Linked DNA regions of Anolis sagrei. The protein of the gene in region 1 interacts with the protein of each later gene in a pairwise test. Links are inferred from orthologs where the notes say so. Each region holds a gene or a part of one and is shown on either strand. Other genes may lie near its edges.

Region 1 (7,923 bases):
CAAATGATGCTTCATCTGACTACATATCCTGTACTTGGGACTTTTATCTCCTCGTTAGCTATGTCTCTAGCGCTCAGAAACTGGTTTCACTTTAGCTGAGAGTTTCTTATCTTTTTTTCTCGGAACCTGGCAGAACACTGAAGCCACTGTTCAGCTTTTCTGTTTTAACTAATCTCCTCCCAACTATCTATTTGCTTATTTATTTGTTTACTATATTTGTATACCGCCCTTCTCAGTCCTTAGGCGACTTAACAGGTGCCAAGCTGCTTTCAAGTTCCAAATCATGGGAACTCTCTGGTAGTAGTTCAGGGAGCACACCATCATCCCCACACCCTATAGGGATATTCTCATGGGAAACTACACTTTGAACAGGGATCTCCTGGTCATTCTCTGCGTCAATATCATAGACCAAACCATTGCTATCTTGAAACTCATTGACATCACTCCCCACATCCAAAGCGCCCTGATCCTGAAACTCAATCACAGGCTGAGCTCCAACAGAACATAACAATAAACACACACCCTATCAAACTCTAAAACAGTTAAAACATTAAAAACATCTGAGCAATTGAAACACATAGAGCAATAAAACAAATTAAAAACATATAAACATATAAAATGCAGAGTCTTGATTTCATGCTTATTCATAGTCATTATCCAAAATCCATAGTCATTATTCAGGCTGTTGAGGTTGAATTCCTTAATATTTTATTCTCCAAACGCCTGCATACAAAGCCAGGTCTTTAGCTTTTTTCTAAAGAACAGGAGGGATGGGGCCTGCCTGATGTCACTGGGGAGGGAGTTCCACAGCCAAGGGGCCATCACTGAATAGACTCTGTCTCTTGTTCCCACCAGTCTCACTTGCGAATGGGGTGGGACCGAGAGCAGGGCCTCCCCAGCAGATCTTAAAGCTCTAAATTGGCAGACAGAAGCCCCATGACCAACAAAAAGTGACTGGAGATCTTTGAGGAGATGTATAGAAGTTGCAGTTCACCTACATCCAGAGCACACTATGAACCCAAACAATAATTGACCTGGACCAAACTCGGCATGCCTACCCAATATGCCCAAATTTGAATACTTGTGGGTTTTGAGGGGAATTGGCCTGGACACTTTGGAGTTGTAGGTACTGGGATTTATAGTTCACTTGCAATCAATGAGCACCGAACTCCACCAAAGATGGAAATTGAACAAACATGGTACATAGAGGCCCCCATGGAGATCTTTGGGGGAAATCCTTCTTGATTTGAGGAAGTTGTAGTTCACCTATATCCAGAGAGCACTGTGAACCCAAACACCGATGGATCTGGACCAAACTTATACCTGATAAGCTGAAATTTGATTACTGGGGGTGGGGGAACCAACCTTCCTTTCTGGGAGTTGTAGTTCACATGCAACTAGCAAAACTGTGACCTAGACCAAACTTGGCACACAGAAACCCCATGACCAACTCAACAGACTGAAGGGACTTGAGGGGACTGACTCACCATAGTGAATTGTAGTTTACCCTACAGCCAGCGAGCACACTGAACCCCATCGATGATGCACCTAGAGCAGTGTTTCTCAACCTTCCTAATGCTGTAACCCCTTAATACAGCTCCTAATGTTGTGGTGACCCTGAACCATAAAATTATTTTCATTGCTACTTTATGCAATTTTGCTACTGTTATGAATCGTAATCATGATGTAAATATCTGATATGCAGGATGTATTTTCATTTACTGGACCAAATTTGGTACAAATACCCGATATGCCCAAATTTGAATACTGATTGGTTGATTTTGTCATTTAAGAGTTGTAGTTTCTGGGATTTATAGTTCACCTACAATCAGAGAATTGTGAACTCCAACAATGATGGAATTGAACCAGATTTGGCACACAGAATTCCCCTGACCAACATAAAATACTGGAAGCATTTGATGGGCAATGACCTTGAGTTTTGGAGTTGTAGTTCAGCTACATCCAGAGAGCTGGAGGAGGGCTTTTAGTAGGAGGATTTGCCGTCTGTTTCCAAAATGGAAGAGAAGGACAAGCAGAGAGATCTTCAGCCTTCTCTGCCAAAGGGGTTCCTAAAACCATCTGAAATATGTGTTTTCTGATGGTGTTTGGTGACCCCACTGAAACCTTCCTGGTGACCCCCCCCCCCCCCGGGGTCCCAACCCCCAGGTTGAGAAACACTTATCTAGAGCAAACTTGACCAACATAACAATTTTTTAAGTACTGATTGAATTTTTCGGGATTAACCTGGCATAATGTGAGTTGTAGTTCACCCACAACCTTATGCAATTTGTACAACTAAAAATTTGACATTTTCAAATAACCCAACCAGCGCCTGGTACCCAAGTTAATACATAATATTGTAAGGGAATTGCAGACAGTTTGAAAAAGCAATGCTCCCTCTTTTGATCATATTTTCCGATCAAACACGTTTTGCAGGTTTTTGTTTCTTTAAAACCTGCAAAACCTGTTTGACCAGAGTGGAAAGTGGGACAAAAGCAATATTTGCATACATTTCCATCGTGGGAAAATAAATATATTTGAAACCATTTTGAATTCTCTTAAAAACGGTTGTCTTTCCCTAGGCTTCTATGCTTTGCACTCCCTATTATCTTGGAAGCTGGAAAAACAATTGTGCTCAAAACTGCACCAAATGTTGTTCTAGGCAGGTATTAAGTATGCGACTACAGCAATGGGAAGGCATTTCTTTGCTCTGTACCTCAGTATAGCTCAGTCTCTTCCAAGCTGATGACTATCAGCCTCTCTGCTGGCACTCTTCAGGTTTGCCCCGCAGGCCCCAAACAGGCGGCCTTCCATGTAGGGCAGCATCCCCACTTCCCCCTCAGGTTTGCAAATTCCAAAGCGAGCCATGTATTGTTAACTCTTTCACCTTTTTCTGGTGCCATGCGCAAGGCCCTGTCCTTAGGTGCCTCTGCCCTCTAGTGGAAGGCACACCAGAAAGGGCGGCTGCAAACCTGCTCCCCTCTCAACCCCTTACCTGTTCAAGGGATTGCATTTTGGAGAGAGGAGTCTGAGAAAAGGAAATAAAATGGAGTTTTTATACAAAGGTCTCTGAACTACAGCTCCCAGAAAGCTCCTTGCTATTGTCTTCACAGAAACCAGAGAGCCAAACCGACTTTCCCACTGGACTGATGTCAAGGATGTCAGGAGCCACCGTCAGACTCCATATGGGGCCATGTGCGGTAGCAGCCCAGGATGCAGAATATGTATGAAAACACAGGATCTTATACATAAATAAGCAACGAAGATGCCACACTGTGGGCTGTGCCACTCTGGGCTTCACAATGATTCTTGGAAACAAAAATGAAAGTGGTGTTGTGCGGTTTCTGGGCTGTATGGCTGTGTTCTAGTAGCATTTTCTCTTGTGGCTGGCATCTTCAGAAGATCTGAAGCCACAGATATGGTTGAAATGTCATGAGAACATGTTGCTAGAACAGGGCCCTAAACCTGTCACGTTGCCAGGGCTCTACCTTATTTAGGTAGAGATTAATCAAACTATCAGTTTTATCAAACAGTTTAATTAAAACAGCACTTACTTGCTGGCTGTTTCAATAGACCAAAATATAAAACACAAAGATAGCACGCAGCTACAGAATAAACAAAAACTGATAGCAAAAATAACTTCGTAGTCAAAAGGGTCCAGTCCAATGGTCAAATGCCAGCAACATCCACCACCAAAATGCAACAGATACTTTTCTCCCAAAGATAAGTCTCAAAGTTAGCTCCTTAAATCCAGTAATACCCAGCTGCAACCCATCTCCTGCACACCTCCACTCGTAATTTCTTTTACCTGTAAACTGTTACTTATAAACTACTCAACCCTTTAGAACCAAGACTTACATTAATCCTTCCATCACCAACTGCCAGGTCTACCACCACCAACCACCATCAACTATGGAACATATGACAAAACCACACCACACTGCAGTGATTCTGGCCGTGAAAGCCTTCGAGTAAAGCGAAAGTCTTGGAAAAATCAATCAACTAGCTAGGTTGATTCAATGAACCAGCTAGGAATTTAAGATCTTCTGGGGAGGCTCTGCTCTTGATCGTGCCTTCATTGCAGGCGTGCCCAGTGGGGACGAGAGGCAGGGTCTTCTCAATGGTGGCTCCTCGGCTATGGAACTCCCTTAGATCAGCCCCCTCTCTACTGACATTCTGAAAAAAATTTAAAACCTGGCTTTTTGAACAAGCCTTTGAAAACGCAATGTAATGGATGAATATGGAACCCAGGAAAGAATGAACATGGTATGGCTTGACAATGTTTTTGGAAAATGAGCTAATAGGAAGTTACTGGTGTTTTATGCTTTTAATGCTTTTTACAGGGTTTTTATAATGTGTGTTAATTGGGTTGTTGTAGTTTTTTTGGGCTATATGGCCATGTTCTAGAAGCATTCTCTCCTGATGCATCTATGGCAAGCATCTGCATCTATGGCAAGCATCTTCAGAGGTTGTGAAGTCTCTGTGTTAATTGTTTTAAATTTTGTTTTAATTTTTTAATGTTCACTGTGGCATCGAATCGTGCCAGTGTAAGCTGCCTTGAGTCGCCTTCGGGCTGAGAAAGGCGGGATAGAAATGCAGCAAATAAAGAAAGAAAGAGATAAACATGCCGTGGGTCACTATAGGGATGCACATCTGTACTTCTAATGTCCTGGAGCCCTTGATCTCCCAAAAATGGAAATTTGCTTGAGTGTTTTCATTGCACATTGCTGAAGATTATGCCAAACCCTTTGCTGCATGAACATATTCAGTGACTGGTCTTTCTAGCTATAGGCAGTGCTGCCTCTCCTCTTGGAGGCAATGTATAGCCACACCATTGGCAGTCATCAATTATTACCATAGCCCTCTTATAAAACAACCTCTTGTAAGTATTGTTTGCTAAAGATGGAAGAAAATGCTTGTCTCTTGCCTATGGTTTGTAAAACTTTTGGTGTCTTATTGGTGCACATAATGTCAGGTCTCCATGTTCTCTGGGCACAGGACCCCCATGAAAGGGAAGAGGATGGCCTTACCACTAGGCAGCCTCAGTCAATCACTCTATCACTCTATCACTCTATCACTCTATCTATCTATCTATCTATCTATCTATCTATCTGTCGGTCAAAGTATGCATGCGTATCTGTTTGTCTGCCTGTAGCACAAAGCTATTGCTAATTGAAGTGGCCCCTTGTAGTGTCACTGCATTGGCTTTTGCTAGATGAGTGGCAATGCTCGTGCTTATGTACTTATTTATGTCTGTATATAAGTATCCCACAACCAGCCAACTTGTGTTGGCGCTATTGTAGCAATACAAGGGAAGTTCACCACTCCTCCCTAACTAACCATAAAAGGTGCATGTTTTGTTTATCCCACAATATTTTTGTCAGCTTCTGATACAGTTAGATACTTTTTATACCTGCTCCCCAGGTTGGTTTATTTTAACAAAGTGCAAAATTAAAAAGAACAGGAGCAAAATCTGTTGGAAATTGCAACTTTCTTCAAGCCTCCACTAGTTATTTGTTATGTATATAATTCAGATTGCTTAGTGTATTGTATATGTGTGTATTGGTATGCAGTTTTTTCCTTAACTCTATGTTGTGGGAGGGGCGGCAAACCATGTGATCAGATGTGGGATTGTTCAGGACTCAGACTCCATTTTAGAAACTGTATGATTTCAGATGCCATTAGAAGCAGAAGCCATTAGACTTTCAATGTAGAAAAAGTATACCTTAGAAGACTTTAGAAAAAGACAGCCTTTTAGACTCTCAGACCAGAGAGGTGCTTTAGACTATGGACTGTGATTATAAGAAAGATGCCCTGTGTTGTCTGCACAAACTACTTCAAACTCTATTTGTAACTGGATTGATGAGCAAAATAACTGTATGCTGAATACATGAAATCTGTGAGTAAACCAACTATGTTACTTTTAAAGAAGTCTGTTTATTTTGTCTTTTGAGAGCATGATTTAAAACCAAGATGTTTTAAGGGAGAGTAGATGTTTTTGGGCAACTGAAAGAACACTTCTAAAACTCTGCTATATATCATAGAATCATAGAGTTGCAAGAGACCTCGTGGGCCATCCAGTCCAGCCTTCTGCCAAGAAGCAGGAAAATTGCATTCAAAGCACCCCTGACAGATGGCTATCCAGCCTGTGTGTGTGTTTGTATGTGCATTGGAATATCTTTGTCCCAAACAGTTCAAAGAGATGTCTAGGTATATTGGTTTAACAGCTGAGAAACCTAATTGCTTTGCATGAATGCTGATTGATATTTATCACTAAGGACTCAAGCGAGTTTTTAACTATTCTCAGGGAGATTCCTGATTTTCCCAAAATGGTGGTGAATGCCATTTTCCAAAAATATTTTTTTTTAACCCGATAGATAGATAGATAGATAGATAGATAGATAGATATAGATATAGGTTTAAAAATATTTTTGGAAAATGGCATATATATATAGTAAGTTTGCATACAAATGTGTGTGTGTGTGTGTGTATATATATATATATATACACACACACACACATTTGTATGCAAACTTACTAAGTCCTATATACATATAGGACTTAGTAAGTTTGCATGCAAATGTATCTTGTGTCCTGTAGCAGAGTTGGTGGGTAGGTGTTTAAGATGTTCATTGAAGTCAGAACTACCTATGTACTCAGTACTTGTATACATGAGTACACAGGGTAGTTCTGACTTCAATGAAGCTTATGTGTTGGTAGATGTACCTGGTGGCGAACTATATGAAAATATAGAAAGTGAAGGAATAGTGTATAGCAGTTGCATTGCCCTTTTAGGTTTCCTCACAGCTCTCCTAAATGGTAGTCTTTATGCTCTTCGTTGTCTAGACCACTGCTTCTTAAGCTATGGGTCCTGACTCCAAATAGGGTTCCATAAGAGGTTGCAAAAATTTGGCAACAGAAAAAGGGTTTTGAGCACCACCCAGTGGATGGTTTAGACATTGACATGAATCTGTTAGCAACAACAGTGCAGTGTTCACAATGGACTCTGAAGGAAATACTTCGGCTTTTCTTCATAAAAAGGTAAATCAGCCTCTTTAGCAAGCCTTGCAAAAGCTGATTTATTATCAGTAAATGTTCGATTAGTATAACTATTTTGTATACTTATATACCTGTGATCATGTACAAATTTCTCTGATAGAAAGGGATCATGAGCAGAAGAACTTTAAGAAGCTCTGTCCTAGACCAGGTTTTGCAAATATTTTTAGTTGAGGCTTGGATTTTTCCCTATGAAGGTCACCTCTGGCTTTATTTTCCCTGTTCCTTGTTTCTCTAGTGTTTTATTTTAGCATTACTACAGGCTTTTTGTCATACTCTTACCTTATTCTTAGGAGCCCCCAGTGGCACAATGGGTTAAACCCCTGTGACAGCAGGACTAAAGACCAACAGGTTGGAGGTTCGTGGATGAGCTTCCTCTGTCAGCTCCAGCTCTCCATGTGGGGACATGAGAGAAGCCTCCCACAAGGATGGTAAAACATCAAAACATCCAGGTGTCCCCTGGGCAATGTTCTTGCAGATGGCCAATTATCTCACAACAGAGGCGACTTGCAGTTTCTCAAGTTGCTCCTGATGTGAAAACAAAAAAAAATTGAGGGGCTCTCCACATTTCCCATAGCTACTTTGTTGCCAGGACTTACAGTTCAATAATTGTGTGGCCTGGCCAACAAAACACTGCTAAAATCCTGCAAATCTCTGGGTAAAACAGGCAAAACAAATGTCGCTGTTCTAGAAGAAGCAAAGACTACCAGCATGGAAGTGATGATCCTCTGCCATCAACTTTACTGGACTGGCCACTTTGTCTTTTCGTATTTACGATGTCATAGGCATCCCTGAAACCTGTCACTGGAACGCAGACATTGAGTTGAGGGCTCTAACCTCTCTCACAGAAACAAAACAAAGGGGAGA
Region 2 (6,832 bases), on another chromosome or scaffold:
CTAAATTCAGTTTTTTGATAACGATCTAGGAATTTTCTACTCCTGCTTAAACCAGTCAAACATGAAGCTTGTGTTAACTTAACCTCAAAGAGGCAGAACAGCTATGGCACTATGAAAACAATTTTGAATGTAAAATTCATTTCAGAATTGAGCAGCTCTAACCCCCCCCCCCCCAATTGTGGTAGAAAGCCCCCTCATCAAATATACCAATTTCGGACAGCCTCCAGCCCCACTGTGCTGAACACTCATTTCCAGTTTGAAGATTGCCAGTTGTAGCAGGTAAAAAACAGAAGTTACTGGGCTGCTGTCAGTAGCTCCCTTTCAGAAGCAGCTGAGACTATTTACTCTGCCCCACAAAATGGGGGACATCTGTTGAGAGAGATATGTGGTTGTTTTTATAATTTGTATGTGATATTGTTTTATATTCATGTACCATTGATGTTAGATATTGCACCTGGAGTGCTTTGTAAGCCGCCCTGAGTCACTTTTGGGAGATGGTGGCAGGATATAAATAAAGTTTATTATTTTATGATTTAAGGGTGCATTTATAGAATAGACATAATGCAACTAGACCCACCTTTAACTGCCGTGGCTCAATGCTATGGAATCCTGGGAGTTATGTTTTTATAAGGCATGTAACCTTCTCTGTCAAAGAATGCAGATGCCTCCACCAAATTACAAACCCCAGACTCCACAGCACTGAGCCATAGCAGTTCAAGTGGAGTGCAATAATCCTACAGCGTAGGTGGAATGGGATGGAGGAGTGGGTGGGAAAGAATGTTGGACTTTGATTGTAATTTAAATGGTATTATTTGAATCCACCCAAAAACATTTAATTGTTTTCCAACTTTTGTATCTGTCTTGAGTTTCCAAGGCCCCTTCCACACAGCTGAATAAAATCCCACATTTTCTGCTTTGAACTGGAATATATAGCAATGTGGACTCAGGGCCCTTCCAAGAGCCATATAACACAGAATATCAAGGCAGAAAATCCCACAATATCTGCCATATAACTCAGTTCAAAGCAGATAATGTACGATTTTATTCAACTGTGTGGAAGGGGCCTGGATTATCTAAGGGTCCTTCCACACAGCCATATATTCCAGAACATCAAGGCAGAAAATCCCACAATATCTGCTTCGAACTGGGTTATCTGAGTCACACCCAGGACCCTTCTACACAGCCCCATGTCCCACAAAATAGCTGCTCTAAACTGGGTTATCTGAGTCCACACTGCCATATATTCCAGTTCAAAGCAGATGTGGGATTTTATTCAGCTGTGTGGAAGGGCCCTCTGATAACCCAGTTCAAAGCACATATTGTAGGATTTTCTGCCTTGATATTCTGGGTTATATGGCTGTGTGGAAGGGCCCTAAGACAGGGTAGAAATAAAGACGATAGTAGTAACCAGGGCCTACTCAGTGGTGGCCCCTCGGCTATGGAACGCCCTTCCGAGGGAGATTAGATTGGCTTCCTCGCTCCTATCATTCCGGAAGAATCTTAAGACATGGCTATTTGAGCGGGCATTTGAAAATACGGAGTAAGGGATATAATAATGGGATAACTATATATATACACACACACACACAATATATATATATATGTGTGTGTGTGTGTGTTTGTATGTTGTGTCAAGAGCGACCTGAGAAACTGCAAGTTGCTTCTGGTGTGAGAATTGGCCGTCTGCAAGGACGTTGCCCAGGGGACACCCAGATGATTTGATGTTTTATCATCCTTGTGGGAGGCTTCTCTCATGTCCCCGCATGAGCTGGAGCTGATAGAGGGAGCTCATCTGCATCTCCCTGGATTCGAACCTGTGACCTGTCGGGCTTCAGTCCTGGGTTTAACCCACTGCACCAATAACCATATGGTGGAACTGGACATTGTTTTAATGATTATCGATTGAAATGTTTCATTATAATGTTTGAATTTATTGTTGCTGATGTTTTTTATATTGTATATCAGGCATCTTCAAACTGTGGCCCTCCAGCTGTTTGGGCCTCCAACTCCCAGAAGCCTTAGCCAGCTTGTTCAGTGGTCAGGAATTCTGGGAGTTGGAGGCCCAAACAGCTGGAGGGCCATAGTTTGAGGATGCCTGTTATATATTGTAACTGTGTCCTTGGTGGCATTGAATTCTTGCCTTGTAAACCTCCTCGAGTCGCATGAAGGCTGAGAGGGGTGGTATAGAAATGTACTAAATAAATAAATAAACAAATCAGTCCCTTCATAACTCGACCACAACCCTCCTTATACCAAATTAAAGCAAACTATCACAATCACCATTCTGGGGGAAGTTGATCGCCGATATTGGCAGCCATCCTCTGTTCGTTGGATGAGGGGGTTTTCGGCGTCGATAGGCTGCGATACCCAAGGGCTGGGAGGGCTCCAAGCACCGCTTCCCTTCGGTCTCCTTCCACAGGAGGCAGAGAGGCCAAACAAAGGAGGTTAACCGAGGCAGAGGCCCATCTCCCTGCAATGCCGCCTCGAGGGGGAAAGAAACCGCTCTTCCTTTCGTGACAAGAGCCAAGAAACACAGCAGAACCGACTCCTTCCCCTCCGAAGAGTGACTAGGGCCGCGGCGCCGAGGCCTACCTCTTCCGATCCTTCCCGACCCACCCTTTCCGAGATCTCTGCTCCCTTCCGAGTTCCCTTTAATGAAACCCCCTTCTCCTGAGCCTACGGCGGCCTGGAAGGCCTCAAGGGTGTGATCAACTCAGCAACAGCCCGCCTCCCGACCCCCTCAAACCCTCCGCGGCCTACTTACACCCGGGCCTACTCGCTCCCCTCGCCCACCCTCCCTTCCCTCAGCCTGTTGTGATCCTCCGGCCTAATAAGACCAAGCCCGCCGCTCCCTCGACTTCAGCGCCTTGCCGCGTTGCTTCAAAGGCTTTTCAGAGTCCAAACGAAAGGAAAGGAAGAACCTCTCCCGTCGCAAAATGGCGGCGGCTGACTCTCCTCCCACCTCGTTCGACTGTCTGGTTCCACAGTCAGCAGCTGACTTCCTTCCGGTGGAGGCAGGAAAGGGAAAGGCGCATGCGCGTAGGCGAAGGGTGGTGACGTCACAGAGGCTGACGCCACGTCGGCGGGATAGGTTGAGGCGTTGTATCAATCAAGATTTAGGCGGGGCCAGGTTTTGATTGACACAAAGGCTCAGCCAATCCCAGATTTCCCCCTATATTCAAAGGCCTAGCCCAGTCCTGGCCAAACTTGAGCCTTCCAAGTGTTTTGGACTTCAACTCCCACCATTCCCAACAGCCTCAGGCCCCTTTCTTTTCCCCCTCAGCCGCTCCCACCATTCCCAACAGCCTCAGGCCCCTTCCTTTTCCCCCTCAGCCGCTTAAGCGGCTGAGGGGGAAAAGGAAGGGGCCTGAGGCTGTTGGGAATGGTGGGAGTTGAAGTCCAAAACACTTAGAGGGCCAAATTTGCCCAAGCTTGGATCTTTTAGGGGTTTGGACCTCAGCACCCAGAATGGCGTCCCTCCAGCAACAGCAAGAGTATCCCTCTGGGCAGCTCAACCAGAAAACCCCAACTGGATGGCCCCCCACAAGGGTCTTCCTCCAGGGGCAAACCAAGAATGGGCAACCTGGAAGTCCCTGAATAGACTCAGAAGTGGAGTGGGCAGATCAAAAGACAGAAAACCCACACACAGAGATAGATACCTACATAAAAACTCCAACCATCACCCAAGTCAAAAAAGAAGCACCATTAAAGCCTTGGCAGACCATGCAAAAAGAATCTGCGAACCCCACCTCCTCCAAGATGAACTGAACCACCTCAACTGTGCTCTCCAGGCCAATGGATACTCCACCTCAGACATCAGAAAAGCTGCAAGACCAAGAACAAGCCATGAGAGTAAAGATGAAGATCCACCCAGAGGAAAAATGTTCTTGCCATACATCAAGGGAAACACTGACCGCATAGGGAAGCTGATGAGGAAACACAACATACAAACTATCTACAGACCCACCAAGAAAATCCAACGAATGCTACGTTCAGCAAAGGACAAGAGGGATCCTCTCACCTCTGCAGGAGTCTACCGTATACCATGCAGCTGTGGACAAGTCTACATAGTGACCACCAAACGCAGCATTGCCCAAACATGAATCAAGGAACATGAAAAGCACTGCAGACTACTTCAACCAGAGAAATTAGCCATAGCAGAGCACCTGATGAACCAACCTGGACACAGCATTTTATTTGAGAACACAGAAATGCTGGACCACTCTCACAACCACCATGTCAGACTACACAGAGGAGCCACTGAAATCCACAAGCATGTGGACAATTTCAACAGAAAGGAGGAAACCATGAAAATGAACAAAATCTGGCTACCAGTATTAAAAAAAACTCTAAAATTGCAACAGCACAACAACAGAGAGGAAGCAGGCAGGGACATCTAATTACCTCTCAACAAAAGTTGGCCCCAGGCACAGTCAGGCCATTGTATGCTAATCAAGGTGGTCAGTTGAAACATTCACACCTAGCTCCAGCAGAGAAGAGTCCTTTGTCTCACCCTGGTCATTCCACAGATATATAAATCCTTTTGCCTAGTTCCAACAGACCTCATTACCTCTGAGGATGCTTGCCATAGATGCCTCTAGACCATGGCCATATAGCCCGAAAACCCTACAACAACCCAGATCAAAAGACAACCTGGCAAAATGGCACTACCTAAAAGAATCCCATACTATGTGTTACTGTGGAGCAGAACAGACAACTCTGCATCTGTATGCTTGTCCATTGTGCCCTGCCTCATGTACAGAGGAGGAATGGTTGGAGGCTACAGACAATGCCATTGCTGTTGCCTGTTTTTGGTCAAGAAACATATTTAGCCGCCTGCAAACCTTCTATTTTTATCAGTTTTATACTAATTTATGCAATGCTTTTGAGACAAAATAAATAACCCAGAATGCCTGCTCATTGGCCAAGGCAGTTGAGGCTTCTGGGAGTTGAAGTCCAAACACATGGAGAATTGGAGTTTGTGAATACAATGCCTTGCAATCATTGGTCTTCCAGGTGTAATCATGGGAGGAGGAGTTGCTGTTGTGAACTGGCGTTAAGCATCTTTGCCATCCTTTGGGCCTGCTCAAACTCTACAGAAAACAGAGGGGAAAGGAAAGGGCTTGAGGTTGTTGGAAATTGTGGGAGTTGAAGTCTAAAACTCTCGGAGTGCTCAAGTTTGCCCAGGACTGAGCTAGGCCTTTTAATATTGGGGAAAGAATCTGGGATAAGCTGAGCCGTTGTGTCAATCAAAACCTGGTCCAGCCTAAAGCTTGACTAATAAAACATCTATATCAATAATATCCCAGGGACCTAAACAGTGTGGGTTTTCTTTCACACCTTTAAATCGACCAATTATGGCAACCTTATTGTAAGGTTTATTTGGCAAGATTTATTAAGAGGAGGTTTGCTGATCTTGCCTTCTTCGGCTGAGGCAGAGTGTGGCTCGTCCAAGGTTGCCACATACCTCTCTATGGCTGAGCAGGCGTTTGGGTCCTGCCTCTCAGAGTCCAACACTCAAAACACTGAACCACAATTTGCAAAGTGCCTTCAAGTGATTTCTGATGTATGGCAACCTTAAGGTGTTTCCTTGGCGAGACGTGGTCAGAGGAAGCATTTCCCTGGCCACCCGCTGGGGCTGAGAGACCGTGACTTGCCCAAGGTCATCCAATTGAAGGAGACGTGGTTTTAAAAGGGGATTTTCAGAGATGTTCCCAATGCCCATATGTCTTTATTTACTGCCATATTGGACTTTTTCTGCAGCCGGCCTTTGTTTACAGAAAATGCAGATTGTTTGAGAAAACGTTGCTGCAGAGAGGAAGTTACTATTCAAGGATAACAGTATATCCGGACAAAACTGGCTAGCTAGTAGCTAGTTAAAACTCCCGAGTTTCCCAGTTGCTCTGGAGTTATGTTTGAAACAGACTAACAGATAAGATTGATTCATTAAGACAGTTATGGTCAGAATTGTGCTATAATTGTGCTATAGTTGCACCATTGTTAGGTGTGCTATTACGTCAGACATAATAATAAAGAACCAATGAGCTAGCTTAGACCAATTAAATTATTTGTCTTTGGAAACCAATGAGAATGTATATTCAATTTATTGTCAAAAATGATAAAAGCTCTGAAGCCCCATTGGGAGTTGCGACAAATCCTTTGATTGCATTCCTGTGAGCATGTTTGTCAATATTATGGCCATATAATAAAGTCTTTGTAGTAAGAATCCAACTTACGGCTTCCTCCTTGCATGGCTACATTGGGCCATTGCGGGAACTCCTAAGCTTGTGCATTTGGAGTGCCCATAAATCAGTGCCCCTTCATTGTGGGCTTATATGGCCAAACAGGGATTCGAAACCTGGTCTCCAGAGTTGACAGGCAAAAGCGAACTGCTACAGCCTCTTCTAGTTTATACTAAGAGAGACATGGCTTTAAGTGGGATTTTCTAATGACTGTAAATCCAGTATGTCCTGATTTGCTAGATGCTTTCATTTGCAAAAACTTCAGTTGCTTAGAAGAAGCTGCCACAGGGAGGTGATTACTCTCTGTCTTCAAGGATAAATCCATAAGCTAGTACTCCCTAAATTTCTCATGTGCTTGAAAGTGAAACAGAGCAAGTAGATAAGACAAGCTGGCAGATGCTATGCTCAAGGTCAGAGAAATTAAAAGTGCAATTGTTGGACACCTTTTGCTATTAGAAAGAAAGAGAGCCAACAAGAATCTGTATTATCCAGCTTAGACCAATGAAATGATTAATTACTGTACACCAGGCATCCTCAAACTGTGGCCCTTCGGCTGTTTGGGCCTCCAACTCCCAGAAGCCCTAATGAGC

The links. The genes of interacting proteins can lie anywhere in the genome.
Region 2: the proteins of ATN1 (region 1) and LENG8 interact in a two-hybrid assay, tested with the Homo sapiens proteins (2 studies listed by BioGRID and IntAct). The link is inferred for Anolis sagrei from reciprocal best matches to the Homo sapiens genes ATN1 and LENG8.

Annotation. Positions count from the first base shown.
Region 1 is NC_090022.1:198,147,426-198,155,348, reverse strand, and holds the start of ATN1 (atrophin-1), read right to left. Parts: upstream 3,019-7,923; 5' UTR 2,996-3,018; intron 2,923-2,995; exon of another isoform or gene 2,717-2,922; intron 1-2,716. UniProt on the Homo sapiens protein: Transcriptional corepressor. Recruits NR2E1 to repress transcription. Promotes vascular smooth cell (VSMC) migration and orientation. Corepressor of MTG8 transcriptional repression.
Region 2 is NC_090026.1:20,492,375-20,499,206, forward strand, and holds the start of LENG8 (leukocyte receptor cluster member 8), read right to left. Parts: upstream 3,008-6,832; 5' UTR 2,319-3,007; coding exon 2,281-2,318; intron 1-2,280.